Drosophila melanogaster: one gene and its partners. The gene in region 1 interacts genetically with each later gene. Each region holds a gene or a part of one and is shown in the gene's direction. Other genes may lie near its edges.

The links.
Region 2: of Sas-4 (region 1) and Mad1, changing one enhances a phenotype caused by changing the other (phenotypic enhancement), as found in Drosophila melanogaster (one study listed by BioGRID).
Region 3: of Sas-4 (region 1) and ens, changing one enhances a phenotype caused by changing the other (phenotypic enhancement), as found in Drosophila melanogaster (one study listed by BioGRID).

The regions. Positions count from the first base shown.
Region 1 is NT_033777.3:7,149,616-7,159,912, forward strand, and holds Sas-4 (spindle assembly abnormal 4), read left to right. Parts: upstream 1-1,751; 5' UTR 1,752-1,792; coding exon 1,793-3,637; intron 3,638-3,688; coding exon 3,689-4,549; 3' UTR 4,550-4,604; downstream 4,605-10,297. Other genes in the region: CG2656 (uncharacterized protein), read left to right, coding at 1,436-1,583; gfzf (GST-containing FLYWCH zinc-finger protein), read right to left, coding at 1-17, 551-1,015; MAGE, read right to left, coding at 4,751-5,449.
Region 2 is NT_033778.4:9,289,031-9,299,327, reverse strand, and holds the start of Mad1 (mitotic arrest-deficient 1), read left to right. Parts: upstream 1-7,762; 5' UTR 7,763-7,870; coding exon 7,871-7,991; intron 7,992-8,047; coding exon 8,048-9,102; intron 9,103-9,155; coding exon 9,156-9,967; intron 9,968-10,028; coding exon 10,029-10,233; 3' UTR 10,234-10,297. Other genes in the region: Drep2 (DNA fragmentation factor-related protein 2), read right to left, coding at 1-1,061, 1,792-2,062, 3,546-3,758.
Region 3 is NT_037436.4:4,126,129-4,136,425, reverse strand, and holds the start of ens (ensconsin), read left to right. Parts: upstream 1-1,875; 5' UTR 1,876-1,923; coding exon 1,924-1,972; intron 1,973-2,603; coding exon 2,604-2,657; intron 2,658-2,769; coding exon 2,770-2,877; intron 2,878-4,213; coding exon 4,214-4,470; intron 4,471-4,536; coding exon 4,537-4,676; intron 4,677-5,189; coding exon 5,190-5,305; intron 5,306-5,782; coding exon 5,783-6,037; intron 6,038-6,634; coding exon 6,635-6,775; intron 6,776-7,452; coding exon 7,453-8,118; intron 8,119-9,263; coding exon 9,264-9,437; intron 9,438-9,494; coding exon 9,495-9,664; intron 9,665-9,723; coding exon 9,724-10,297. Other genes in the region: RfC4 (replication factor C subunit 4), read left to right, coding at 443-607, 660-1,490.

The DNA.
Region 1 (10,297 bases):
TACACACGATCCTTGTCCTGCGGAATTAGAGTTCGTGTTAGTCATTTTTGTGCTGTAAAATTGTATATGAATTAAAAATGGTACATCATGGGAAATCTATTTAGGTGTAAAATTAAGTTAAGTGTAAGTTCAAAAGTATTTCATTCCCTTGGATATTCCCTTCAGTAGGGTGCATGTTATAAAATGATTGGGTCCCATTTTTTTCAAAAATCCCTAATATTTAGTTTCGTTTGGAGATATATAGTATTTTTTGAATCATAAATGATTAAGCTTTGGTATTTATTGTCCTTTTAACGGCCTAGCCGGTGGATTTGCAAATAGGAAAATAAATATAAAAAACAAATTGGCGGGAAACCATCTCATTACTAAGGTGAGCAAATTAACCTTTTTTTTACATTATCAAATGTTCAAAGTAGCGGTGGTTACCGAAATATGAATCAATATTAATATCAATGTTCTTTCTGAAAAAGAGACCCAGCTAGATTCTAAATAAATGGTTGAGTTGAGTATTCAGGGGCATGAGCCAGGTACAGTTGGCCTGGGGCCGTACCTCAAAGTCCAACTGGAACGAGGCCTCCACGGTGGAGGTGTCGATGCTTCCGTAGATGAACTCCGGCGGATTCATGCCGGCGTTGGCGCGCTCGTACAGGCGTGCTCTCTTCGGCTGGGTGGTGCTGTAAGCGTCGTTCATCATCATTACGGAGAGCCGCTTGCGCTGGGCCACCTTGTTGACCTCGTGATCGCTGCAGCGCGGGTGGATGTGGGCCAGAACGACGTCCACGACGACGTGGCGCGTCTTGTCCAGCGGATCGGGCAGCATGGTGCAGATGCGGGACTTGCAGGGAGTGGACTTGTCCTTGCGCCTGTTGCACAGCCATCGGTAGGTGTTATTCCGCCCGATGCGATCGAAGTGGTACAGATAGTCGTCCACGCAGAGCATATCCACGCCCTTGGCGGAGCGCACCACGGACACCTTGGTCAGGTCCATGCCGTGCTCCTCGACGGGCGTCTCCATTTTTGAATTGGTGCGCTGTTTGGCCCGAGCCCGGAATTCAGCGTTTTTCGATTTGCCCTCGAAAAGTGTTTTGTATCGTAAATTAGGCGATTTTTTTAGTGGCTGGCTGCCTGGGATTTGTTGGTTGGGATTTTTGGTGGTATTTCGTCAGCTCACTATTTGCGCGCCTTTTTGCAAACGCCGGCCATTTACCCAAACGCACTGATTTATTGCAGTTTGATGCACTAAAAGGGTTTATATTTGGTTTTTATCACTCGATTTTAATTGCACAAGCACATTTTCTTTTGCGACGCGTCGAAAAATGCTTTTGTGTGGGATACGAGGGCTGCGAGCTATGCGGTGGCGTTGCCACTTATCAAAATCGGTTATTTTTGTGACGTTCAAAAATTGTAAATATTGATGTTTATTATTCACTTACAGTTTGGTGAGATTTTTCCCGTTGGATTCCCAGGACGAGGAGAGCGTGGGCGATCTTCTGCTACAAATTGACAGTATCTTGCAGTACGGCGAGGATGCAGACGTGAACGTTAAGGACTTTGATGAACCGGAGGAAGGGGATCAGGATTGAAAAAAATCAATTTTTCATATTGCTTAAGAAAATGTACAATATTTTATTTTTAATAAAAAATTAAATCTAATCAAAATGCATGTCTAGCACCATCCCTGACCGCAGAGTTGCCACTGGTACAGTGTTGGACAACTGCTGCCGTAATTTTAAATTCCCCTACGCGTACGGCGTCTAAACAAAACTGCGATTCTAAGAACGAATATAAAAGCATGCAGGAGGCTGGCGAAAGTCCTGTTGGAATGCCTCTGAGCCAGGAGGCCATCGCACAGCGTCTCGCGGCGCTTAGTCGTTGGCAGGACGAGCAGAAGCGGCTGCTGCAGGAGCGGCAGTCCAATCACCGCGTTTTGCTCGGCTTGGAGCAACGTAATATGTACAAAATGCTGGGACTGCTACACCAGGAAACGGAAAGCCATGAAAACAGTGTGCTGGAGGAGTGGGACGAGGAGCACTCTATACAAATGCCGCGACTCGCGGCGGATCCGGACGAGCACGAGCCAGAGATTTCAATGGCTGATCCCCAGCCGGCCAAGCCTAAACGCCCTTTTCTGCGTCGCGGCGAAGGTCTAAAGCAGCGGTTCAAGATCAATCCCGACCAGCTGCGCCTGGAAAACCTGCCGCGATACAAGTTCGCTAATGCCCACCCTCAGTTCCGCACGCCTCAAATGAAAAAGGGTATTCTCAAGAAGCAAGTCAAGTCACCTCCCAATCCTGCGCCTCCACCAGCTCCCAAACCCTCAGCACAGCTCGACGATCTCAACGAGCAGCGCTTTCAGCAGATGCTTATCGGCAAGAACGCCTGCAGTTCCACTCCAGATCTAAAGTCTTCCTATGCGTCCTCCACAACCGCCTCGAGCACCTCGCCCAGAGTTCGTTTTGTAGAGCAGAAGAGCAGGGCGGGACAAACCACTCATGCCGATGATGAAGCCTCCTCGGAAGCTAGTCCCATGACAGGAGTTTGCTGGGCCAAGGTGCTGGACACACAGAGTATAAAGCCAGCGCAAATCCAAAGACGCTCTGCTCAAATCCGAGTGGAAGATGACAGCAATGTAAGCATATTCGAGCTGCTCGAGCAGAAGGCCACTGAGGGAAACATTGATATGAACTCCAGCTGCATTCGAACCTTTATGGCGCGCAAAGATCAGCGTCGCCGAGTAGCTGATGACTCCGATCACATTGTAGTCACACAGCAGGTGCGTCAGATGCGATTGCAGCCACAGGTGGACCAGATGCTGGTGCAGGAACTGCAGGAGGGGGACGAGGAGGACACCGAACCGTCCAGCGATCAGACCCTCACAATGACACCCATCCAGGTGGGGAATACTAAAGTGCGAGTGCGTTTCTCCGACTCCAATGACACGCACGAGTACTCCGATGCCACCAGCCTCAACGACGGCTCCAATATTCAGCTCTTTGAACAGTTCAAGTCCGCCCTCTTCCAGGCATTGGAACAGAAGAAGAAGTCAAGTCCCAGCAAGGAGTCAGACGAACCCATAACCAAAGATCTTCAGGAGAAAGCCAATCTCGTTCGCACTCGCCTCGAAGAGCTGGAGACAGAGATAGCCACCTTCAAGGAGCAGAATGCCCAACTCCTTCGCCTGAGGCAGCAACACGAATTGGAGAAGGCAAAGTGCACACAGGATCACATGGAGGCCATGGAACGCGTCCATGACGAAAAGATTCAAGCTGAAATTTATCTGCACGACGAGCGCATGAAGATTGAGGAGGAACGACGCAAGTTCGAGCAGCAAATGCGACTTCAAAAGAGCAATGCAAACAGCAAGGAAAAAAAGGAGATAGCCGCCTTGAAACAGGAAGTGGAGGGACTGCAACTCCAGCTCAAACAAAAGGAGCAGGCGCATGTCTCGGCACAGGCACGACTCCGCGCTCAACTGCGGGCCAGTGAGAAGGAGCAGCGAAACTACCGTGACGAGATCGAGCTGCTGCGCAAGGAGAACAAGCGCCTAGAGCAAGAGCTGGTCAAGATTGGCCGCGAAAACAACAGCAAGATGCTGCAGGAGATCAATCGAAACATAGCCCGGCTTGCCCCCAAAGTGGTAAGTGCATGCTTGTGTGTATATCGTAATGTAACTAATGTCTTCATTTAGTTACCTTCCGCGACAATGTCCGATATCCTCGATGAGAACGGTCGGCGCACCCAATCTCTGGACGGCACTGCTGGTAAGCCTGCCAAGCAGCGAGAGGCGCAAAACCGTCGTCAGAGTAGCGGCAGTGCCCAAGTGAGAAGTCGGAGTCGCTCACTGAGCAGGAATAAGAAAACACCATACGCTCTGGATGAGAGCTACGCCTCTAGTAGTTCTGTGGAATCGGAGGAAGTTCAGCCGCCCGTGACCGCTCCGAAAGCTGCTACCCCCCCACCGGCTGCCAACTCCAGCAGTGACTTTAAGCGGGAGATTACGAATGCGGATGGGAGCAAGGACATTTGGTACCCAAACGGCAATCTAAAAAAGATAAGCGCCGATGGCATGAACTTGCGCATGCTCTATTTCAACAAGGATATCAAGGAAACTAACATCAGGGAAGGCACAGTGAAGTATTACTACGCTGAGACCAACACTTGGCACACCTCCTACCTAGATGGCTTGGAAATACTCGAGTTTCCCAACGGGCAGACGGAACATCGCCGCAAGGATGGCACTGTTGAGATTCACTTTCCCAACAACAGCATTAAGATTGTGGATCCCAGCGATACGGAGAAACTGGAGGAGTGGCGTTATGCGGATGGAACCCATCTAGTGCAGCTCCGGAATGGTGACAAGATTCTCAATCTGCCCAATGGCCAAAAGGAGATTCACACCAAACTAAACAAGCGAAGGGAGTATCCGGACGGCACTGTGAAGCTAGTGTATCCGGATGGCAGCCAAGAGACGCGCTACTCCAACGGCCGCGTTCGTTTGAAGGACAAGGATGGCAAGCTCATAATGGACACAGACTATGCCAAGTATTAGAGTCGGGTCTCTGCTTCCGTTGTTAAGTAAATTAACTTAAGTTTTAGATAAATAGAAAAGACGTGCTATTTTTAAAAGATCATCGTAATATTCTTTTCTTGCTGATAAATGGGAAATTGGCTCTATTTTAGATTATTATATATATTGTTTGGTTTTCAATTTGTTAGATCAAATGTAGTAAATTATTCATAGAATGGTATTCTACTCCGCGTTTACTCCTTCTTGGGCCATGGAGAGGTGATGGCCGAAGACCTTGGGATGCTGATTGAGCAGCTTGGAGGCGAATTGCACCATTTGCTCGAATGTGAACTCCGCCTTGGCACGTGGTCCCCAAAGGAAGAAAGTCTTGGAATCATCGTAAGCACTTAGCTGTGAGCGTTCCCGCTTCAGATATTGTTGCTTCACAAACGTCTCCTCGATCTGTTTGCGCAGATTGGGGCCGAAGTAGCCATGTTCTTCGTCTGGATAGATGTTGAGCATCTCCAGCATAACGTACAGTTTCGAGTCCTCGATGCGGTTGCCGCGCAGGAAGATGTACATGAGAATAATATACAGCAGCGTGAACTGCGGCCGTTGAGCCGGCGTCAGCTCGTGAATGGAGGCCACCGGCTCCTCCGCAGTGCAGATGAACGTCTTGGTGGTCGCGTCCAGTGGGGTTAGTATTATACCGAATGTTTCGGCCAGCAGATTAGTGACCAGCGGCAGGCGTTTCTTCAGTTCGCTCTTGTCCCCAGCCACCGCTATCAAATCCTTGTCCTTTATGGGAATCTTCTGGGCGGTATGATCAAGGATGTAGTTTAGAATGGCGCGAACCTTGGCGTCGACCACATCGACGGGTTGTTGCGCTTCCTGCGAGGGGATGGCATTCTGGCTCCTAGCTGCGCGAGAAGTGCTAGCCATTTCGAGTTAATTTGATTAACAAGCTCCCAATTTATCAAATTTATTTGATTATTTAAAATGCAACTCAACAAGAATGCAGCGAACATATGTTTTTTTTCGCACTTTTGAAAGTGTACAAGCCTGGCGTTGCCAGATCAGAGTTAAAAAACGAGACCTGTTTTCAGTATTAAAATACCAAATGGGCGCGCAAATTATATTAATTCAAAATCATTACTCTGACAATAAAATCTTCGAACCCTTATTATGGTCTTTACCAATCCTTTTCTCTCGCATCCTTTTTCACTTGGTTGCCTATTATATGCACTTTCAAGTGCAAATGGCCACTCATTGGTCTCGTTTGAACGCACAAACTGGGCCAAGAGCCGCTGAAGTACCTACTCTTGTGGGTTTGTATTGATTGATTTCCTTTTGCTGCCGCCTTTTTCCTCTGTTACATTTAACAATCAGTATGAAATTTGCGCTGCAGCGAAACGTTTGCTAAATAAATATCATTCGAGCATTTATCGAGCAGCTAAGCAGTGGGTAACGCACTTTGCATAAAAATTGCCATAGCAGCCTCAGGAGGTGATGTGTTTTTAATTAAAATGGCCAAAACGACGCGACGTGCAGCAGCAGGAAGCAAACAACTTTCAAAACTAAACGCGAATGACATGCACGGTCAACATTCCCCACGGAGACTCAAAATAAACAGAGACCGAGTCAAACAAAACGAAATGGAAATGGAAATGCATTTCGCGCAGCAGACACACGCGCCGAAGTGCACTTCCAGACGCTGCAGAATTACATGGCCAAACATATTTTATTGCCTTGAAATGTGTGTTTTAGGTGGCGATGGCGGTGGCTGTATCTCTGCGGTGAAAACTAGTTACCTGCGTCTGCGCAAAGTGCGCGATCCATAAGTGATAAATGTACAGGCGGAAGGCAGACAAAAGTTGCCTGGCCAGGCGGCAAGCTTTAATTGATTCGCCATTGTTCCGGCTTGAACAAAAGCAGAATATCGGAGTTCAGATTGTTAAAGACAGCCTTTGTGGCCGCCTGAAATGGATATCCGCCGCGTTCTGCAATTGATTCTGCTTGACCAGTGACTGTAATAGCACCGAAATTTGCATCCCAGCAAGTGAAATTACTCAAGATTGTAAATCTCGCAAAACGGCGGCTGAGTGAGTCAACAAAACGCACTGTCAACGCGAAGCGTTAGACTTTCTACACACAAGCAAACAGTTTTGCTTTCAAAATGCGCATTGTAACGTTGGAGTTTGTCAACTCCAGCCCTAAAGTTTTTTTATGGCCGGCTAATTGTAGCCAGACGGTGTTGGAGAAATGTCTCATTTACTAAAAAGAAAGTCAAGGTCTTTGCTGAGCGACGTGAGCGGCAAACTTGCTATGCAGCCTGGCTTTTAAAGGCCATTAAAAATTAGCAAATGACATGAGCATGCCATTTAGAATTTTCATGATAAACAAAATCCCATGACCAGCCAATAGAGTAACGACAACGGGTTTCGCAGCTCACCGCGGTGGCAAAAACTATTAATAAATTAATAACAGAATCACAAGAGGCAGCAGACAAAAAATGTGTGCACAAAAAAGAAAGCCAATATTGGAATGAGGAATGTGTGGAGTTTAATGCTCTATATGATCGGGATTAATTGTTTTTAAGTGGCTTGCTCTTTGAGATTTATCATTTCGAATATCTTAAGGAGCTAAAAGTTTTTTATTGCGAAAATAATATGAATGAAAATAAAAAGTGAAAAATGAATAAATAATATTACATTTAAAATTCAGAAAAATGGAAGGCACCATTAAATGGAAATTACGCTAATATAAATACATCTTTTGATATTCTTAAAGTTGTATTTTAAAAAAATGTGTTGCAAACATTCAAATTAGTCTTTCGTTTTGATAAGAAAAACGCTGATAAATGGCATAGTTTCGCAAACATAAATCTCTTATCTTGTAGTTTTTTAAAGATTCCTTCTTTTCATGTTCCCAGCTTCTCTGGCTAAAAATATTTTAATTTATTCTTCAGCAAATCGAATGTTTTATTTCCCTATACAAGTATATAAGTTTGTTCTTACAACCTCTTTCAGTGAGCAGATAACCCCGTTTCGGTCGCAATGGAATGGAATCGAGAATATAGAAACAATAGCCGGCTGTTGTTGCCTCAGTCTGGTTGCGTGCCGTTCTTAAAAGTGGACTGCCTTCAGCGGAGCGGTTCGGCATTCTTGTCCAGCAGCTGCCGCTCGTGGTCGATCTGGCTGATCAGCTTTGGCCCGGGACCGGCACTTCGATTAGATTATGATTTGCTCCTCTCTCAGAACGACTCAGCTATCCGCTAAATGTCAATGGGGCTCACAATTACAAAAGCGCGCTAAGCTGAACGTAGCTGTGAGCGAGTAGAGTTTAGTTCTCAAATAAAAGACTTGGACAACAAACTTGTTCGGCTTAATTAAGAGGTCAAATTGCTAAACTCAGGCCATGGATCAAAACGAAGCTGCTATTTGACCTTTTACACTTAATAAATTTCGATGCAAACTAGACGCCGGCCACTGATAATCAAATTAAACGCTTATCAGATAGTTTGCCAAATGGCTGCAACAATCGTCGCAATTAAAGTCGAACAAATGATCAGTGAATTGACTTCACTTGGGGGCCAAGTTCACTCGTGCATGCCTAATCGCGTATACGCACCGTGTGACGACATCGACTTGCGGGTTGTCTAGTACACGGTTTTCAGTCGAATAAAAAATGGCTGAAGTCAAAGCGGATCTAAGTTTTACGCATATTCGTAGTGGGAAAATATGGGATTTTATTGCTCTATGGCGGTGGATGTCGTGCAAGTTAAACAATTCTAAGATTCCACTTGTGTGAAATAGAAATTCGTTTATTGAAATTACTAAAATTTAATATAATTTAAATAAGATATTCACTGCTAAATATTTTTCAAGGCCGTTGTATTTTTTTTATTGTTTATTGTATTTTGTGTCTTTGCATTTTCTGTGGTCTTCAACTTGATCTTTTCGCTGCGTTTGAGTTTCGCCTTCGTGTGTTTTTATTGCTCTCGAGATTCACAATCTCTCGTTTGGCCGGCCATTCTAAAGTGCTTATTAATTTTATAGCCCGTGATTCGATGACTTTGAAGTGGGCCAGCATATACATAAGCTACAACTGAAACCCACATCCCCATAACGTTTATATAAACATTTAATAATTATTAATTACATTGAAGTGGCCATGCCGTTTTGTAAACAATTAAGCTATAAGTTCAGCGTCTGGGGCCGTACAAGTTGGTCAAAACTAATGGTGTTTCGGCTGACGCTTGAAAAATGCCCATCTAATGAGTCACTTTAGGTACCCAAAGTGATTGGGGTAATTCTCTACGCCGGCCAAATGCTAAATAGTTTACTTAGTATCCGGTGCCGTCTTGAAACTAATAAAATGTCAAGTCTTAGGTTTTTCTCGAACACACGTTTTCGGTGACGTTTTCGCCTTGCGAAGGTCGATCGGCAGCTTTTTGCAAGTGTATCACATGAACCGAAATGTGAATCACATTTTCGAATTTAGTATGCAGTCGACGACTTTGTCGCAAAGGCCTTGAGCTCCGCACAATTTGCATGAGAGAGTGCCAGAAACAATAATGTCCAATAAATTGTTGCATAAATCGCAGCCAGCTTCCTGTGCGAAAAACTTTCACAAGCCATTCGCCGAAAGGCAGAAATTTGTAATAATTATTATCGAGCTTGGTGTCATGTTATACATGCATCAATTTAATGGCTTTTGCAACGCCGAAAAACTACGATTTTCCAACTCAAACGATCGTGAGAAGATCTGCACTCTGAAGTCATGGTCATGGTCAAATGGACCATGATTGACAAGCCAAGCGACTTGGTTTATGTTTATTTATTTTTTGGTGCTTTTAAGCATTTCAAGTTCTCTATTAAAAATAAAGTTGAAAGTGCAGTGAGAAAGTAAAAATTTATTTCTATATAATTAATTTCATATAGTTACATTTTATATATTTAAAAGTATCCTTTGTGCATCCCAACTTTATAACTATACAAATAGACAAGTCAAACCTAAATCAAAACTTCCATGGAATGCTATAAGTTCACGAAAAAATAATGTTGATTTTTATTATGAAATAAATATGCGACTCTTAAGCTACTTATTTTATCCCTAATTTCAATTTATGTTTTCTAAACGAAACACGAACGTGTCCATAAAATCTCTGAAGGCCAAAGAAATAAATTCCCTGAGCAAAACCTTTTGAGTCACGAGTCGAATATTCAAAGAAATTCTGTTTAAACAATTTAAATCCCGAGCAAGAAGATTATGCAGCATACGTATACATATATGATGTCATGTCTTCGAAATGAAGTTTCGGTTATTTTTGAGCTTGAGCCTGGCTTGGTTTTCAGCTTGTTTATCAGCATCTGGGTATCGTTTCGGCCTCTTTGAACGCATTTCATTAGCGGCCATATATGTATATATATATATGTATCGTATATATGAACTTATATGCACATAATATGGGTATAGTTGTCTGAGCGGTGTCTGCATTCACAACCGGTGTGGCTGTCTTCGCACCGGCTCGCCTTTTGTTTGTTTTGTTTGTATGAAACATATTAAACATATAGTCGCATATGTATCTCTCCAGCGGTCTCTCAGCCCGTCTGCAATGCATTTAAATGCAGTTTGTGTATATATATTTATTATACGCTGCATGTGCATGCTTTACTTTTACTTTCATATGCAACTGGTTGCTGGCAGCCAAAATGGGGAAGTGCTGTCAGTCCGAGTGTGGGCCTCGTTTCTCTCAGTGTGCGCGTTGTTTTTCTTGCTGTTCCCGGC
Region 2 (10,297 bases), on another chromosome or scaffold:
GCCATTGTAAATGACGCCCAGTTCGCGCAGCGCATCGCCGCGTATTGTCGCCTTTATCGTCCAGTTGTAGCAGTCGTCTGACTCGGACTCGCGATCCAATCGCTCCACGTCAAGGATCTTGGAGTTGAGGCGTTCCAGTATGATGCCGATGTCCTTGATGCTGAGGTGACGCTTCTGGTCCACCGACAACTGGTCGATCAGCAGCAGAAACTTCTCCGTCGTCGTCTTGTCGTCCTCCATCACCGTGTTCTCCGTTTCGCTCTCGGAGCTATCCCGCTCGGGAGCGATGTCCAGGAATCGCACATGGCCCTTGGCGCCCGAGGAGCGGCGTTGCATGCTGCCGCTTCCGCCGCCACCGCTGCCGCCCAGCATAGGATCCATAACCGATGGTGCCGACTGCGGCTGGGGACTGCTGCTTCCGTCCTGGATGGGCGACGTGGCCACGCTCTTGTGCACAGCGATCTTGCGCCCCTCCTCGTGCAGCGCACAGCAGTGGAAGTCGCACTCGGTGGTGCTGGGACTGCCCGCCCTGCTGGGCGTGTGGGCGTGGTGGGCGCATTCCGGCGTGTGCACATGGACAGCTCCCACACCCACGCCTACGGTGCTGTCGAAGGAGCTTCCCTGCTTGGAGAGTCGCCTGCTGCCGCCGGGTATCACAACTCCTGGCGGCAGAACAACGCCACCGGGATGGTATATGCTCGCCGGTCCGTCGTCGCTGATCACCGTTATTTGAGGGCTGGCATAGCGCGGCTGGGAGGACTGCGACGACACCGACTTGTTGTCCAGCGAACTCTGCGCGGAGAGGCCCTTCTTTGAGGGCGAGTACTTATCGGACGACAGCAGCCCATTGCTGCTGCCCAGGCCGGAGCACATGCTCCCCACTCCGCCGCCGGCGCCACCGCCTCCTCCTCCGCCGCCGCTTCCTCCACCCTGCCGCTGATCCCAGTGCAGAACGACCGTGACACGCCCTTTGTTATCCATGATCTTCCACGACGGTGTCTCATCGTGCAACTCCAGCGCATGAATCGTCTCACAGACGATTTTCGGTATAGCTGATATGGCTGTAAGAAAAATAATAGAATGAGATCCGAACCACTGAGAAATCCCAACTGAAGTTCAGTACGGAATGATGAGAAGGTCAACTATCGCCTCAAAAAATAGCTAATACGATATTCACTTAAATAGACTTGTATAAGAATCGGACGACCATGTTCTTGAAATTGTAATGACTGTCATTTAAATCTCTAAATAGCATTTTTCTTTTGTTTAATTTTTACGTCTTACGTTTTTGTTTACAATTCAATGCTAGCAGCGGAAATCTTAATAGCTTGCCAACGCATTAAAAACATGCTGAAATTTATTGCATTCAAGATCCAATGTGTCTCAAAACAGAGGATATAGTCCAAAGAATTGTTTAAATTTCTGTTCTTTAGAAATTGAATAAGTTCAGCCAACTATAAAAAGAATTTAAATTCATTCGCAAACAATTGACCTTGAAATCAATTCAAACAAGCCACATTGAAAGTTGTGCTAAGTACTAAAGTAAATGCTTGCTCTATGAATTAGTTATTCAATTTGAATGAAATTGAAAGAGTCTTTGATCAAATATCGAAATAGACTTTTTGCAAATATTTAGCTATAAGGGTAAGGCTCATAATTTACGCAGTGATAACTTATTTGAATTTAATATTGAATCTAAATGAATGTTTCCTCTGACCAGGTCTAAATCTATAATTAAATTTCCCGTGGCCAGTACTGATCCCGAGATGGGAGTGAACTTATTACACCCACCAGCCTTTATGACATCGACGCCAGTGGGATACCAGCGCTCGCCCTGCCTTAACAGCAGCAGCACCGTATTGTTGGCCAGGGTGCGAAAGTATTCGCCATCCTCGATTTGGGTTCCATCACACTCCAGAACAACGCGCACCGGTTCTGAAGCAGGAACCCCCAGCTTATCCTTGCCGCGGACCAAGAGCTCCTCGAAGGTCCCAACTACGACGCCCTTGCGCACATTCCGCCAGCTGTCCCAGATTTTCAGTGGTCTCTTGCCGCGAGACTCCTGCGAAGAGAAATTCGGATTAGTTGCGTTTTACGAATTACAATTCCAACTGCTGGCGAAGGAAGGGAAAGTGAAAGCTGAGATGTGGGAGGATGGGGATGTGGGATGTGGGATGCAGGGTGCAGGGTGCAGGATGGGCGTGACACCTGTGAAACGCTGCGCACGAAAAACTGACAAGTGGGTGTGGCAGCAGGCCCGGACTGTGTCATAATTTCCTCAGCCCGCTAATTGGGCTTCTCTGGCTTGGCCAAAAAGGGCGCAAATGTCAAGGCCACAACTGCTGCACTGCTCATATTAATTGTAGATATCTTATGGAATAAAAGTTGAAATAAATCCACGGCCCTCACATTCGAAATAAAGCAAATGCAAGTGCTAATGCTTGAAAATGGAAACATATATGTACATATAAAAAGGGCCAAAGAAAATTGAAAACGAATCCTTTTGGCTAACAGCGCGCACAGCTGTTGGCTAACAGTTGCAGGCAACAACAACAACGACCAGCCAGCCAGCCAGCCAGCCGAGCAGGACGAAAGCTGCAATGTTTAATGTATTGCAAGGACATGAGTGTGGCGCTCCAGTGACCCAGTAACGAGTGCAGCACACGAGCCATATACAAATATCTCTCTTCGGCCAACCAAGCCCCCAAATCCCCCGATCCACCGATCCCCCAGTTCATTCCCCGCCCGTTCACCCAAAATAAAATGTTTGAAAAATTACAAAAAATTCATGTTGACATTTTGCTTATTCCTCCGCACCGAAAACAAGCAGAAACTTTTCATAAAAATATTTCATTTCCCTCGCTCTGGCCAGTGTTTTGTGTGCTCTACTCGCCGCCTCATCCCTCTCCATCCAAACCATCGCACCGATTTTCCTCTTGGGATAGGTCAGTTGCTGCACCCCAGCACCATATGGCACCGAGGGAGTGCAGCGGGTCGGGGATGTGCTGGCTATTATAAATTATGAAACTGATAATACTATAAACAGCGAGCACTGCCAGTTCTAAGGCTCGATAAATCATATTATGCCGTAAAACAATTGTTGGAGAACTGGTTGAATATCGTAGCACTTTAAGATTGTGTGACTTAGCTTTAAAAAAAGGGGAAACTTTAGAAAACAAGTGGGTAATAGTACCTAAAGAAAATGTATAACATACGCTAAAGGTGATGCTTTATCTTCCCTAAGTAAAATAGTAAGATATTTCATTTCATGCAAGAAAAGAGGCAAACCAACCACCAACAGGTTGAATAATTTCAAATGAATTTCCAAAAACCATTAAACTAGTTATTGAGCAGTATTGCCCAACAAGCTATTCGATTAACCAGTGTGAAATGCATTTGAGGAGGTATTTAGAATTGGAGGTGGAATTGGAAACCAAACTGGATAAAGGACGGAATAGATTGAGTTTGATCTAGAAATGAAGGACATTTGCAGTCGATGAAAGCTAAACACTGAATAAGTATGGGTCGCAAAGCGAAACTATTACCATTGCGGACAGTCCGCCGTTTGTGACCGACGACGAGGGCCCCGTTGTGATGGCCCCACCACCCACTCCGGCCCCACCCGCCGCCGCGGCAGAGGCAGCTACGCCCTGCGTGGCCTGGGCCGCCGCCGCAGCTGCGGCTGCCACTTGTCTGATGCTCAGACAGTTGCAGAGCGGCTTCGTCACGCCCAGCGTGCACAGGGCGTTGGACCACATGGTGGTGCTGGTGGTGCTGTTGGTGGTGCTGCTGCTGCCAGCCACTTTTAGGCCGAGTCTCTGCGCTGGCTCTGCTGGCTTGCTTGCAATGGTTGGCCTCGTCGCTTCCAAGGTCGTCTTACACTTGGAGCTCCAAGCTCTGGTAATCCATGTCCGTTTTAAAAATCCGTTATATAAACCCGTAACCGATGTACGCCTTACAAAATCCGGAGTTGCGGATGCTTTTACCAAAAGTTCTACAAAAATTAAAGCTTATTGCTTATTGTTGGAGTCATAAATGCCTTGCGTTCAGGGGGAAAATTCGTAATTACAAAAATTGTTAAGGGGGTCACGAAAAAAAAAACGCACTTTGCACAAAATACAGCTTCTGGTATAAATGTTATCGTCCACGTTATTTGGTTACTTTAGTTTGTTGTAAATACTGGCAGAGTTGAAGTGCCTAGAATTTCGCTTTTCACTGCTCGTACTTCGCATTCGCATTCGCATTCGTATTTTTGGGGCAGGTCAGGGCGGGTTGACCTTCGCACTTTCACTTTACGGATACTACGCGCCTGCAGCGCCCTTTTGCCCGTGAAACCGCCGAGTTTTCATTTTCATTTGATGCTGAGTCCCAGTTATTAGACTTAATTATAGCTCGTTTTTAGAAACTTGATTTTGTAGAAAAACGCTTGATTTGTTTAGTTATAGCACCCAGTGGGAACGTGGTGTTTCCACGGGCCAAAGCAGCGTCCTTAGCTGCCTGTGTGCCTGGCAGCCTGGCAGAGCAAACTGTGAGTTTTCCCGACGAGATGCTGCATCGGATTTCACTACGGTAGCAGCTGCTGCTTCTGCTGCTGCTTCTTCTTTGACTTTTGGGGCTGGGTGCGTTTTTGCAGCGCGTTAACAGCGCTTGAAATGAGCACGAGGCATAAGCGCGAGAGAAGTGCAGTGAGAACGAGGTGAAATGCAGCACAAAGCTTTGCGAGAGCGAGTAGGACAGGTGGAGGAGTGGGGGTAGAAATCCCGTTACTACTATCTAGTCAATTTAATGCCTTCAGTTTTTAGGTCCCCAATTAAACCGTATTTGTTTTATCCACCCCACTATTTCCCATTTACTACCTTTTTTTCCATAATTTTCGATGTTTTAACAGGTAAAGATATTTCGTCGTGCTTTGGCCTACATTTGCATCAATGTGATATAATCAGGACGCCAAAGCGCGCGCACCTTCTCCCTCGAAACGCTTTACCAGCATTTCATAAGATCCCATCAGTTTGATTTTGTAAACATTTACTTCCAATCAACGGCGTTCAATTAATAGTGTTGCTATTGGATTGTGTGCCCCAGGAAAATATTTAGCTTTCTTTTAGACCTGATCTTGCTCGACATTTAAACTCTAGCATTAAACATTGAAGTCTTTTAATAAAAAGGGTGAGACAGAGAGAGAGTGATGCACTTTTATATGAAGCTCTCTACCTCTCGCAAAAGCATTGCCAGCTGTAAATGTGAATGGATAACAGAGCACTAAAACTCCTGTAATTGCTGCTGGCCGAGATTTTTAATTGCAGTAAGAAGAAGGAGAGATAAAGTTGTTTTGTTTATCCTAAATAATGCCAGATCAACTGCCAACTGAAAGCCATCTCGGCTGCATTTTTATCAGCTCTTAAAGGAATTCCAGCGCTTTGGGAATTCGCAACTAATTTATTTTTGGAGACATCCTCTCAAAGCAACAATTTTGGAAAGGCCAGAGAGCGAAATTCCTTTCAAAGGGGGCGCGAGAAGAGGAAGAAGAACAACAGTTGCAGCCACACGTGGGATGGAGGCGGCGGGAAAGGAGGGCGTTGGGGGAGTGGCACATCTGTGAGGCGTAAGTATTACCTCAGTTATTTGGGTCAAAGCTATTCACTCACCCGCAAAGCAAAACGAAACGAAGGAACTGCATAAAACATGCACAAACACACACACATATGCAGAGCAGGAGCTTGAGGGACACGCACACAAAGAGACTAATGCGGGCCACAGGCTTAATAGGTTTCTCTAGCGGATGCGGACGCGAGTGCGGAGCATCCGCAGCGATACGCCTTGCTAGATACACTCGCCAAAGGTTGTCATATGAAAAATTCACATAGATGGAGCAGAGTGCCTGTAGTTTAGGCCAGGCATGAATCGTATCCATTGCACCCATACTCAAGCAGCAAAATAAAAATTTGCCTAATCTTCTCTAGAAGTTGATTTATTCATGCATCCTGTTGTGTTGCTCTATAAAGAACCTATCTTTCGTTCAGCTGACCACGTAAAGAACAAAATATCTACAAAGACCAAGTCAAAGAAATATTAAAATATATTATAAATTTTACTTTGTTCAAATTGCATGTTATTAAAAAAAATCTATTACCTAGTATTATTTTTGATTATTTTGTTTCTACTGCTTAATTAAAAAATTCATTCCTACAGAGAATAATTATTTGTTACACGCAGCATTTTTATTATTAAGTTGTAGTGTTGGGTTAAACTTCTTTGGAAAAATATGACATAGGGTTAACTGTTTTAATGTTGGGAGAGGCTAACACCGTTGGTTGCAGATGTGAATGATGGGGGATGGTGATGAAGTGAGAACAGCTGATTTTGGCAAAGTAACTTGCGGTACCGTGGTGATCGGGAAAACTAAAACGGTTAAGCCGTAGTTGCCGGCTTTGCTTTGCTTTTAGCACGTTTGCACTTACCTCTCTGGCCATTACGACATGTTATCACCAGCGGCACCCGCTTAGAGGGTCTGCCATTTGCTCAGCGGCAATAACAACAAAAACAACACGGGAGCGCCTCTTAGAGCGAGGGAGTGGGAGAGGCAACAACAAAGCACACGCTTTTCGCGATACGAGAACTCTCGTGCGTCTACTTAAGTATGTGTGTGTGTAGGCGGCAAGCGGTATAGACGGAGAGACAGAGAGAAAGAGTGTGGGAGGAGTGTGTGCGTGTGAGTGTCTCAAAAATTCTCTACTACACGTTTATTTTCAATCTTCTCTTCCCGCACATTTCTCCAACGCGCCGATGCTGTTTCGTTCTTCCTCTTGCTTTTCTATCCTGTCCTTTGGCTTCCTTTCCTTCTTCCTCTCCACACCAATCACTGCGTGGGTATGTGTGTATAGGTGTGTATTGGAATTCGCAAAGGTATTTGATTAGGAAAGCTGGGATTTGTTTAAACAATTAGCATGCATCACTTTTTGCAAATTTGTTACAGTAACTTGGGTCAACCCACGCCCACTTTTATAGGTGCGGCTGTTGGGCAGGATTTGCTTTTTGGCAGTGGTGGTGGTGTACGTGTGCGGGATGCTTCTGTGTGCGTGCGAGAGAGCACATTGGAGTACCGTTATCGCTGGAGCCACATTTTCTTATTTGACATACACTTTTTTGTTGCACACGCACACGCGTTTCGTTGTTTTTTTTTTGTTACTTTAGTAAAATTTATTTTCTATACTCTCTTTCTTGAAAGCTTTCTTTTAACCGTTTTTTGTCCTTATCTCTTGGTATGTACGACACACACGCTTCACATACGTTCTAGTTTTTGGCAGTTGTTCAATTGTTCGAATTAATTCCGATTTCGGAATTTGTTGTTTTAACGATTTATGAGTTTTTTCGGTGCGGAAACAATAACATTTAATTCATTTTAAGCCGAGAAGAAATGCAAATCAATTTTTATTTTCGGCAACACTCGAAGAACTATCGTTATCGATTGCGATTTCTTTTACCTGTAGTATTTCGTGTAACATACTTTTGGGTGGTGCAGAAAAGAGTCACGCTCGAATATACTAAACTGGGCTGCCAACTTAGCTTTTGATTTGTTTTCTTGATTTTATATTAACACACCAAATAAAGAAATTGCTTAAGACAACTGTCCCTTTTAAGATATTATTTCCCAGATTAATATACGTATATTTGATTATTGGTGACAATTTTGGATACAAAAGCCAAAGTTATCGGCCACTTTAATACTAATAAAATATGACCAATATTTGGCATTTCTTGTCTAAATATTTGCAGCCACTCTAAGATTAATATTTTACCAACTTCTTTTAGCAATAAAAAGTAAATATCTTTACTGAAAACGTCAACTAAGGTCTCCCACATACAACTTAAAATGGACGACATACGTAGCAGCATAGATGATATGATGGACCGCTTTAACGACAGCATTACCCATTCGGCACCCAAGAAACTACTTTTCAACCGGCTTTCCGCCTCCTTCGATTTAGGAGTTTGTAAGTTGTAATTTACAGGCGCGAACGTAGAAACTAACAAGTAACTCCTCTACTAGCACCCAATAAGCGACGTCGGGAACGGGAATCACCGGAACGCAGTCTTAACGACACCGCCTCTTCCCTCAATATGCCCGCCAACGATTCCATGGCTTCTTTGCAGAACAGCAAACTACGGACCGAGCTGATCGAAACCAAGGCCATAGTAATTCAGCTGCGTAACGAAATCGAAAAGAAGAGCCGGGAACACAAAGAGGCCATATTGCTGGCTGAGAACAAGAGCACGGCCTTAAAGGATCAGTGCGACATCACCAGCAAGAAGAATTTGGAGCTGCAGGACGATCTTAAGGCGCTTCGTAAGCGAGAGCTGGTCTTGAAGAATGAGGCCAGTCGGGCCACCGCCGAGTTGAACCAACTTAGGCTTAAGTTCGATGAATCCACGCTCAAGTTGCAGAAGGAGAAGTACCTGCAGAAGGAGGATGCCCGCGATGTGCACCTGTGCATCAACAACGAACTGAGCGAATATCGCCGCATAGCCCAGCGGGCCGATCTCGAACTGCAGTCTACGCGCAACGAACTGGAGCGCCTACGTCAACTCAATGAGGAGTTACAGGCCAGGGCTTCCGGATTCGAGCAGCTGCGCGCCAATCACGAGAAGCAAACGCAAAGCTTGAAGGTGGCCAACGATCGCATTCAGGAGCTGGAGTTCGAAATTCAGTCGTATAGCGACTGGAAGGAGGTGGTCAAAACCTCACGAGAGCGCCTGGCCAGTGTTCCAGATTTGCTAGCTGAGGTGGAGCATCTGCGCAGCCACAACAAGCATTTAAACACTCTGATAGGCGATAAATTGCTTCTGGAGGAGCAGGTCTACGACTACAAAACGCGACTGGAGCGGGAGGAAGGTGCTCGGGCGGAAGCAGCTTCCCTGCAGGTGAAACTGCTTCACATGGAGCAAGAACTCAAGGAATGGGTCAAGGTGGCCCAGGATCACTGCTTGGCCAACACTTTGGTCAGCCCAATGGCCCTACGCTCGCGCATTGAGCAACTGCTAAAAGAAGACATCATTCACGTGGCAGAGAAGACATCATCGGCTTCGGATACCAAGCATTTGAATGTAGGTTTTGTCCAATGTGTTCCAAGTCCAATTTATCTGACTCCATTTTATAGACCACAATTCGAGATCTAGAGCATAAGTGCGCCATTTACTTGAAGAACATCGAGGATCTCAATATCGGACTGAAACGCCACAAGAACTTCAAGGAGCGACTGCAGCGCAAACTGATCACCGTGTCTAAGGAGCGCGACTTCTACAAACAACTGGTGGAAAACTTCGACAAGGACACGACCCTGAGCAATGCCAGTGTGGCGGACATGACGCAGGACATGCAGGTGCGGGTCCGAATGGAGGTGCTTGAACGCACCGTAACCGGATACAAGGACATGTGTGCCACGTTGGAACGCGAGATTCAATCCTTGCGCCAGCAGGAGCTTGTGAACGAACCTGCCGGAGAGGGATACGATAGCGTCAAAAAGGAACTGGATACGCTGCGGATGGAAAACGATCGGCTGCGTCGGCGCAAGGAGGAACTGGAGATGGAGATGATGCACCGCTGCTTGCGGGGCGACTTCAACATGAAGGACTTCAAGGTGGTACACTTTAGTGAAAATCCCGCTGCCGAAGCCTATGAGTCCACCAAAAACATGATGGAGAAGCTGCAGGCGGAGATTGAGCGACTCAAGCGGCGCAACAAGAAGTTGGAGGACGATAACGAGCAAAGGCTCAATGAAACCACCAGCACGGGCGGCATGACACTGAACTTTAAGGAGTTCAATCAACTTCAAGCCGAATTAGAGTCCGCCAATGGCAAGATGCGGAAGATGAGGGATTGCTTCAAGGCGGCCCGAGAGGAGTTCCGCGATGTGTGCTACATGCTGCTAGGCTATAGGATCGATCGAATCGGTGCCAACAGCAACTATCGGTGGGTAGCGATTCCATAGATCCTCCATCTTAGTTGCTAACATTTAATATTTCTCTTGCAGCATATCGAGCATGTTTGCAGAGGGACCGGATGACTATCTGGACATCAGCCTCAACGAATCGAACTGTTTGGCGCTACTGGAGTCGCCATATTCGCACACATTCAATCCACCTATTGATCAGCAGCTGGCAGCCAGCAACTTTCCCGCATTCTTTTCCGCCCTCACCCTAGAACTATTCCAAAAGGCCACTGTCACGATGACTTAGGTCATCATTACTTTAGTCTGTCTTAGCTTAAGCTAGCCGAGTATGAAGGCATTGAAACTTATTC
Region 3 (10,297 bases), on another chromosome or scaffold:
TCAAATTTTTGGCACCTGATGCATCTAAATGTATTGTAATTTCTTCAATACCCAATAAAGCTTAACGAAAAAAAAAAACTATTTGGTCTTAAATTAAATTTAACTTTTTTAGTTTTTTTTAACCTGATTTGAAATCCTCATCTATCTAACGTTTACATTGTAAACAAGAATTTTTAACTAATGTTTGCTTAAAACATATTCTTTTTATATATTGTTGAGCGTGTGTTCTTTTCCTCATTTACAGAATATTTTATGATCTGAACGTTTTTTTTTTATATTTGAATTTCAAATAATTACCTTTATGGACCTATCGGTGTTGCTAAGAAATCGATAAATGTAAAAAATACCAGGCCTAACCGTTGTGTTTTGGCGCCCAAGAAACGGCCACACTACAGCCCCACGCTTCAATTTGTTTGTGCGAATTTGTGAAATTGCACATAAAATGCCGGAAGAACCAGAGAAAACGGCGGACGACAAGCGCAGTCACTTGCCGTGGATTGAGAAGTACCGCCCCGTGAAGTTCAAGGAGATAGTGGGCAATGAGGATACCGTAGCAAGACTATCCGTATTCGCCACCCAGGGAAATGCACCCAATATTATTATTGCTGTGAGTTTGTGAGGAGTAAAATTAGTTTGGCGCCACTAATTGTGATCTATAGGGTCCTCCTGGCGTGGGCAAGACAACCACCATCCAGTGTCTGGCCAGGATTCTCCTGGGAGACAGCTACAAGGAGGCTGTCCTCGAGCTGAATGCCTCCAATGAACGAGGAATCGATGTGGTCCGCAACAAGATCAAGATGTTTGCTCAGCAGAAGGTGACACTGCCGCGGGGCAGGCACAAGATTGTGATTCTGGACGAGGCGGACAGCATGACGGAGGGTGCCCAGCAGGCACTGCGCCGGACCATGGAGATCTACAGCAGCACCACTCGTTTTGCCCTGGCCTGCAACACCAGCGAGAAGATCATAGAGCCTATCCAGTCCCGCTGCGCCATGCTACGATTCACCAAGCTGTCCGATGCGCAAGTTCTGGCCAAGCTCATCGAGGTGGCCAAGTGGGAGAAGCTTAACTACACGGAGGACGGACTTGAGGCCATCGTATTCACTGCCCAAGGTGATATGCGACAGGGACTGAACAACCTGCAGTCCACCGCTCAGGGATTTGGCGACATCACCGCTGAGAACGTCTTTAAGGTCTGCGACGAGCCGCACCCAAAGCTCCTAGAGGAGATGATCCACCATTGCGCTGCTAACGACATACACAAGGCCTACAAAATCCTGGCCAAGCTGTGGAAGCTGGGATACTCGCCGGAGGACATCATTGCGAACATATTCCGTGTCTGCAAGCGCATCAACATCGATGAGCATTTGAAGCTGGACTTTATCCGTGAGATCGGAATCACCCACATGAAGATTATCGATGGTATCAACTCGCTGCTGCAGCTCACCGCCCTTCTGGCCAAACTCTGCATTGCCGCCGAGAAGCATTAGATTTAATATGAACTATAGGTTAAAGAAATCTCAGAGATAAATAAAATTGGAGATAAATAAGTCCTTTTCAGTATTGAATACAAGTGTACCTAAATTTTAAACTGGGCACCGTTAGTTAACAGATTAATGTTAATTTCTATGTCAGCGCACTTAGAGCATATCGTCCCTAATGGAGTGTTAATTATTGCGCCCTTGGTATCGGAAGCTGAAATTATCATACAACATTAGATAATGTATTTATAGGACCGAATGATCATTAGTTTTTATACATAAAACCGGAGTTAGTTTTTATACATAAAAACCAATACGTTAGTTAACATTTCTAGTATTTTCGTAGAGCACACCACTATACAACAGTACGGTCGCATTAAGTAGATTATCGCAGCACTACAGAGCTGGCCACACTGTTTGCAGCGCTAAAGTAAAGTGAAATATGGCGAGTCTTGGGGGCCAACACGGAAATATTTCGACTAATCCAGAAGGTACGCATTGAAAACAACCCGCTGAGAGTGCGAAATCGAAGGACGAATGCCCCCGCGTCGAAAATCGGCCAGGATCTACGCGTTTTCGGGGCGTTTTCAGTGGCCAAAAAGTGCTGGTCGACTGCGCAGCAAAACGGCACTCACACCACGGCCAAAAAGCAAAAACGGAGTGAAGAGAGAAAAACGAAGAAAAAAAACAGCGAGGCGAGAGGCACAGAAAAGAAAAGAAGAGAAAAGCCGAGAAGCCAAAAGTGTCTGCCCCCTAGAAATGGGGGATATATGTATTTCGAGTTCCCCGATTCCGAACCGGAGTTTTGAGTTTATAAATAAGTTCCAGTCGGAAAAGTCGTTGGAACAAGAGAGAGGGAAACATACATTATTTTCTCGTACTTCTCACTGTCTCTCTCGCTTCGTCATCGCAGCTGCTGCCGTGCGCTTGTGTTCGTGCGTGTGTGTGTGTGTTTTTGTGTCCCCCTCCTTCCTCGCTCTTTCGCCTTCTTGTCACCTTTCCTTTTTGCCAAAACGCAACGGCAATTGATTTTCCCCACACACGAAAGCCAAAAGTCCGTGTAAAACTCCGGAAAATCGCAGCGAAACTCAATCGTCCATTTTTCTCGTACTTCTTTTGCAGTGGAAAACACAGCCAAGCGACCCGAAAGTCGCGAGGGCAGCGCCGAGCGAAAAGGTAAGCCTTCTATGCGGATTATCTTGCGAGTTACATAAAATCGGCACCAATGTATATCACACATACGCACTATATGTAATCGCTTTAACATCACCTATAACTCGAACCACAGCCCACGCATTCGCACCTGCCAAGATCTCGGGCTGCAGCGCCGGCGCAACCTTGCATTGGTTCGCCCAGGTGGGCGGTCAAATCTCCGCCAGTGAAGACGACTCTCAAGGTAGTTGGCATTCCATTCAGGCTGCTCCAAAGTCTTCCACAGCCACGCCCCGTTCTGTTCCGCCTCCAAAACGAATGCTCCGAATGTTTGCCGCATGATCTCACTAACAAATAAGACCCATAGTCCGCCTTATCGCGATTTTAACCGTCACTGGTCTATTGCAAGTCTTTCATAGCTGTTTTTCTAATAAGAAAATCTTCTTATCTATTCTCACCCAGTGACACGCTTTAAATCACTGTAGTTTCTAAACTGTCTAGATGTTACCCACTAAAGTGGGTTATTAAAAACTCAAAGCATCTTCAATTAACACCTAAAAGATCAAAATGTTATCTACACTTAAGGTCTAGCTTGATTTTAGATGGCAAGTCCAACTCTAATTATACAAATTTTAAAAATATGTATAGTCATATTTGACTAAATCATTGTGAGAATGCAAAACAAGGAATGATTAAGTTATTGGGAATTTGATCTTAATAACAATGTTCTCAAAGTTTGTTAAGTTAAATTGAACTACATGTTATTACGAGAGCAAAAAGGAAATGGATTTTATCAAGCGAAAAATCAATTGCAATGTTTTTGGCTTTCCAAAAACACAAGTAAATATGGCATACAGTGGGTTAAAATCCAGCAATTTTGCCTGCGACCTTGACAGCTGATAATTTCCCATTTGCAAGATATTTTCGCACCTGTAACTGGCAAAAAGATTGACTTGCAGTTGTTCCTTTGTCGTCTTGCTTACGTCATGGAATTCCAAAAATATCTTAACCGATAAGGCGATAAGAACCAGTTCCCAGTTCGATTATGCAGACTTTGGCAGCCAAACCGCATGCTACCAATATTATTGTTATTATTGTTAATTTTTTTTTTGCATTTTTCCGCCTCAATGTCATTTCAATAGAACAAAATGTGCGCCTGCATTAGCAATTTGCTTTCTATTTTCCTTTTATCATTTGTTTTTTTTGTTGTTCGCCCATTTTGCACATAGGCAAATTTGAAGCGGGGGCGGCGGTATTGTTGTCCGAGTATTTGTGCCATATTTGTTATTGTTGCTGCTGCTAGTTTGTCAATTGACCCACAAAATGCGAGTGTACATTGTCGATGACGTCAGCTCTCGGCTCTCATGTAAATAACTCGCCGGCAAAAGTCGAAAAATGGGGTATAATACTACACATATTAAGCAGATATTTATCGATTTTTGTTGGGCCACAGGTAGCAACTGATGAAAATATTCCCAGTTTTATTTGCTTGCGAACCGTAACTTGTTTATCCAAATTCAATTTATGCCCTTATAAGTATGTGCGAATTCGAATCTCTATTCATTTTGCTACGCTTTTAGCGTCCAAAGACCGTGAGGAGAAACTAAAATATGCCCGCGATCGCCAAAATGAGGAGCGCCACCGGAAAATCGAGGAACTGCGTGCCCAGGCGGAGGCCGCCCAGCGGTACCGTGAACAAAAGGAGGAGGAGCGCCGTCGACGCATCGAGGAGATCCGTACCCGGGACACAGAGAAGCGCCACCAGGTGGAGGAGCGCAAGAAGGCCATTTTCGAGGCCGAGAAGGAGCGCCGCGAGTACATCCTCAAAAAGAATCAGGTGCGTGCGTTATCGCTTCGATTCCAATGAACTTCTATTATAATTCTTGTTTTTGATCATCCACAGGAACGCGAGTCCCGGATAGAAGTGAAAAAACGGGACAGAAACTCCATCGGCTTCGCATTTGGCTCCTCGACTCCCCGCCTGCTGGATGTGCCCGCGGATTATGGTCTGGTATCGCCCAGTGCCTTTTGGGGTCAGCGGAGGTGAGATCCGAATGAAAGTTATCTGAGCACAAAGCCAAAAACTCACACAAAACGCGCACACTAATATGTAGCCATTCATGGCTATCTAGATTAGTATATATTTTGGCCGATTTCATATGTGCTTTGCGCTGCACATGACTAATTAGCGCTGCACTCTGACTGGCATTACTTAATTATTTTTATCAGTTCTTGAACTTTTAATGACGAAATTGTTTGCCAAAATATATAAATCACAATTAGTATAATTATTGACTTAGTAAATGTCGCGAAATGAAAGCAAATAATTGGCTAACATGAAACTAAAGATAGTGAGCTAGTAGCCAATCAATTGTTGAAAAAACCCATTTCACAATGATTAAGCAGGTTTTCATTGTAAACTTTGATATTCTTAATGGCAAATAGCTAATTGTTTTATCGTTATGAAGTAGCAAGGCCATTTTGAGGCAATTCGAAGTTTATATTTTTGCGCTTAGATATTTGAATTTGAGTACTAAACATGACTTCCCCTTGCAGGTCCACATCTATATCGAACGTAGCGGGCGCCTCGCTCACACGTCGAAGTTCAGAGCGTGAACTTGCCGACAGTGGTGCTAAGAAGCGTGCCTCCTCATCGACGGACCGACAAGATGGTGAGTCGCGCTGCCCCCGGCAGCACTTGAGTCATCCCCGAAACAGATATACACACACTCTTGAACACTCCACACTCGCTGAGACACCAGACACACATAATGAGATTAAATTTTACTTTGCAGTTATCGTTATCGTTACCTTAGACACTCGTAAATCTTGTAATTGACAAGTCCCAGTTATTGTTTACATGTGCCCCGCAAACCGGAGATTTCTATAACCCTCTACCATGTTATCTCCCACTGTGCCCAGTTGGTGTACATGTGAATTACTATTATTGTATAGATACAAACCCCTAGCACCCACAGACTTCTCACACGGCACGATCACTTCTGCTCCCTTCTTCTCTTTTTATTTATTTTTTTTTCTTGTATTTGTTTTCTAATATGATTTGCACCCAAAAGCAAACAGCAATCACACCTCTGTAACGTTCACTTCTATATTTGAAACAAATCGAAAAAACTACCGACTTCACACAGATCACCGACGCAAGTCTTCCTCCATGTACGAGGTGTTCAATTGGGGCTATTCCAATGACGAGCCGCCCAAGCGGTTCTCGCTCTCCATTGCCGGCAGCGAGATAAATATCGATGGGCCGGCCAATCCCCATCCGCCGCCCACTTCCAAACAAACAGCCAACGCGCACAGACCTACAAATCTCACAACAACCACAGCAACAAGCACCACTACTGCAGGCCACAACAACTTTAACAACAATAACTCGTATCGTAAGGGTGAGGGTTCTTCTACTCTACTCAGCTCCTCCTTCTCGTTCTTAACCCTTCTCGTTCTGACCCCGTTTTTTGTTTTGCCGTAACCCCAATGCCAAACCTAACCCTGTATTCGTAACCCCGCCGTAAGCTCGTAACTCTCGTTGTCTCTACCCCCGTAACCCAAACCAATGGCATGCCTTGAGCTTCTCAGTTTTGCATGATGTTTTTACGCCCTCCAGATTGTACAGATCCCAAGCGCTCTTCGTTGAAGCTAACCCTCGAAAGCAGGATCGACCGTCTGTAAAGAATTCAACGTAAATCCCCAACAGCATGGTTATTTTGTACCGAAAGTGTTTACACTGGCTGACTGTATTAATTACCGATTCTAAAATTAATAATCTATTATGAAACCATCAGGAGTATCAGTGTAAACACTTAAGTTTTAGCTATTTCGCTTTTGGTTTCTATCGTTCCTAGATATTAAGTTTTTTCATATATAATTTTGAGACCGAAATCGCAAGTGAATCATTTCGGCAGTTGCATCCAAAAATCGAATATCAAAATCCAAAATCATGTACAAAACAAAAACCAAAACAACCCAAAACCCGAATATTGCAGAAGATAGCGTTGACTCATCACCCATGGTGTTCCGAAGCGTTTACCGCAGGAAAACGGACCTTATGCCGACAATACCTAGCCCCCGAGACGGGCATTATGGTTCGCGAGGCTCCCTGAGCTCGACGCCGGCCAGAACCCCAGGTAAGACCCACCCAATCGATCCTCCAGTCCATCCAACCGACACACCCCCATAGCTATCTGAATCATGCTCATCCAGCGATCAGCTTCATCGTCTATCTACGCATCAACAGCTCTTCATTCGACATCCCTCCATCCGATTAGTTGTGTTTCCTTTTGGTTTAGCCCATTCCGGACCAAGAGTTGCCCTTAGCCCCTGACTTTTTACTGTCGTTTCCCGGGTTCAATGCTGTTTCGGCAGAGATATAGTGAGAAAATATGGAACACTTTCTCTTCCAGGCACCTGAAAACACCAGAACTTTATTCCACGCACTTGAAACACACACTGTAAAAAACACACCAGCCACCTGAACACACCTTTTTCAAAACACACCTTGTACACACCATTTTGTAGACCAGTTTGTCCACATCTTTTTGTGAAGTCTTCCTGTAACTGCAGTTGCGTTCGAAATAGTAAAGTTTTATTAAATCTTATTTTATAAAAGTTATATCAGGTATTCTCGTATCTTAATGATTTTCAGAATACAATAGATATATTTAAGACAATTTTGAAAATTCCTTGAAAACTATTTCGAACGCATCCGTGGGTTAAGCTTAGCTAGCTCCCTAAGGATCCACAGCCAGAGCCAGGCTCAAAAAAAGATTCACGAAACCAATTTCAACTTTCAACTGAACCGCAGGACGGGCCTACTCGATGAACCGCTTGGACCAGCTGGCGCAGCCGATACGCCGCAATGGGGAGCACATGCGTGCGATTCTGGAGCGGGAACGCCGCGAGCGGGAGCTGGAGATGCTGGACGAGACCGCCTCGCTGGGCGGAGGAGGGGGGCGACGCGGTGCGGGGTCCAGCGCGCGTGCACGGCGGGCGGGAAGCGCCGGAAGCGGTAGCTCCAGTGCCGCCGGCATAATGTCCCGCAGCATGACACACCTGGCCGGAGGAGGTGGCCAGCGGGAGCGCGGAAAGTACTCGCTGGGAGGCGGCATATCGACCAGCTTCCGTCCGCTGGCCAGCGGAGCCGGAGGGCAGCGGGACTCCACCAGTAAGAGCATGACACAGATTAGCAGTTGGTCGGTTTATGGCAGCACAGCACCACAGCAACCACCACCCAACCACCTGCACCACCTGCGCCAGTCCACACTCGGCCTGCAAACTGCGGCAACTAAGAAATACCTCCAGTCATCATTTGCCTCAGCCTCATCCTTCAACTCTGCATCCTTCCGCGCGAACGCGACTGGTCGTGGCCGGCAGCAGCAATATGCGATCTCTACTAACCCCCACCGTTTTCTCGATCTCGATCCCAACTCATTGTTGCTCATGAACTCTGCTAGTTTGTTAGTGAATGCAGGTGTGTGCGATTTAAACAAAAACCTAAATTACAACCAAACATCTCGAACTACCAATCAAAAAACACCAATCCAAAGAACACGCTAGCACCACCACCACACTACTCACTAAATCTAAAATCTAAATCCTCCGCAGATTGCGTATAGCGTTGTAGCCATCTATCCATTTACTCGAGTACCTACTGATAGCCCCCACCACAAACCACTAGAACAACAACTCGCGCACCGAAATCGACTAACTTGAACTTTCACCACACTCCAAAAATCGAACTCGTACACCCGCATAGGCTTTTGTTTCCCAATTCCCTCGGTTCATAGAGGACATACGAAGAACGACCGATCGAGGTTGTTTGTAGTTCATCTGAGCAGCAATTTGTGATCCACATGTGATCTCATGCGGTTTCAACAACCTTTGATATGTTAGTCCATTACATCCGCAAGTCCGTTTATATGATAAATCCAGTAAAACACATTGTGTTTTCATTTGATCATTTAATCCCAAACCACATGTTAAACGTTTGTAAGATCTTAAAAAAGAATTTCAAAAAGCATACATATAGGCTTCACATTTCACATTATTCTAGATCATCATAATCACATTATCATAATCGATCCTTTTCGGAGCTTCCCTGGTCCATATTGTTTGCTGCCTGTCGCCGTCTGTCGGTCGTTTTGTTCGTATGTATCCATAGTTACACTTGCTTTGATCGGGTTTTATTAGATGGTGAAGCGAAACTTACATTTATTTAATTGTTATCATTATTATCATTTTGATTTATTTTACATTTTAGCCATATCATAACATTGAATACGCATATAAACATAAGTATTTATGGGCTCAGATGAGTCTGTGTACTCCTAGGTATATGATATTTGGTCCTTGGTTTTATGTTCTGTATCCTCATTATGTGTTCGCTCGCTATATGTGTACGAATTGAACTCTGTTGGATCTTTGGTTAACTTGTGTCCTACATTTGGTATTGTGTTTCCCTGTGTTTCCCCCCTGCAATAATGGTAAACTCTGGTGACGGTCACTACTCACGTACGCTTTATTTGGTGCTCCACATAAGCTCATCCATAATGACACCCCCTTGCCCCCTGTAATCTCTCATTCCGTAACTGTTCTAATGAAATCTGTAATCTTTAGGCTCGCGATCGGGAAATGCCACGCCCGGCGGACACTTCAATAACTCAAGGCCCGGCAGCGCCATGTCCACATCGACAAACATGTCCACATCCGGGCTGGTGCCCAGGCGACCGGCAACGGCACCCCGGAAACCGAGGCCCGCCAGTATCGCCGGAACGGGCATGTCTCTCGAGGGTAAGTCCGCTTGAAGAACACTTAGAACGTCAGACATGAAACCCTTAAACCTCGTAGAGATTAACAAACTCAAGAGGGATCAGAAGCCGCCCGTGAAGACGACAGCCGCCTCGCCATCCGCACAAACGACACCCAAACGAACTGCAAACCTTATGTCCACCTCCCTGATCGTGACCTCCAGCTCATCGCGGCTGAGCAGCGCCGAAAAGAAGACGCCTTCGAAGCGGGTAAGATTCGTATTCCTTTGAAGCCCATTACGTTTATTGAATCGTATTTGAATCTACAGGAACCTCCGGTACCCAAGGCAGCATCAGCTTCAAAGGCGCTGCCAAGTCGCACAGCCAGTTCCGAGCGCATCAGTAGGCTTACCAAGGAACCGAAAACCAAGGATACCTCTGCAATGACTAGGTCGATGATTGTCACCAGCAGCAGTACCTCCACCATCACAAAACCAGCTCCTGCCCCGGTCGCACCCACATCCGCTCCAGTTCCCGAGCAGAACGGTGTGGCCAAGGAGGTAGAGAAGACTACTGCAGATGAGCCAGTTCCTGAGGCTGAAGTTCCTACCGAGGCTCCCGTTGTTGTTCCATCAGTGAGCAAGGCTGAGAAGGAAGCATTGAACACGGAGAAAACGGAGGAAGGGGCGCGTCAGGAGGAGGAGCAAATTTTAGCGGTGGAATCTGTGCCCGAAGCTTTGGTTACCTCAATTAATGTAGAGGAAAAATCGGATGAGGGCAATGAGAAGGAGGTTCCTAAGCCCCAGGAGCAGGCTGCGCCCAAGAAACCATCGCGCAGCAAGGAGAACTCAGAGGTGCGGGAACTGACCCCACCAGAGGGTGCTGATCTGATGACCGCTTCGA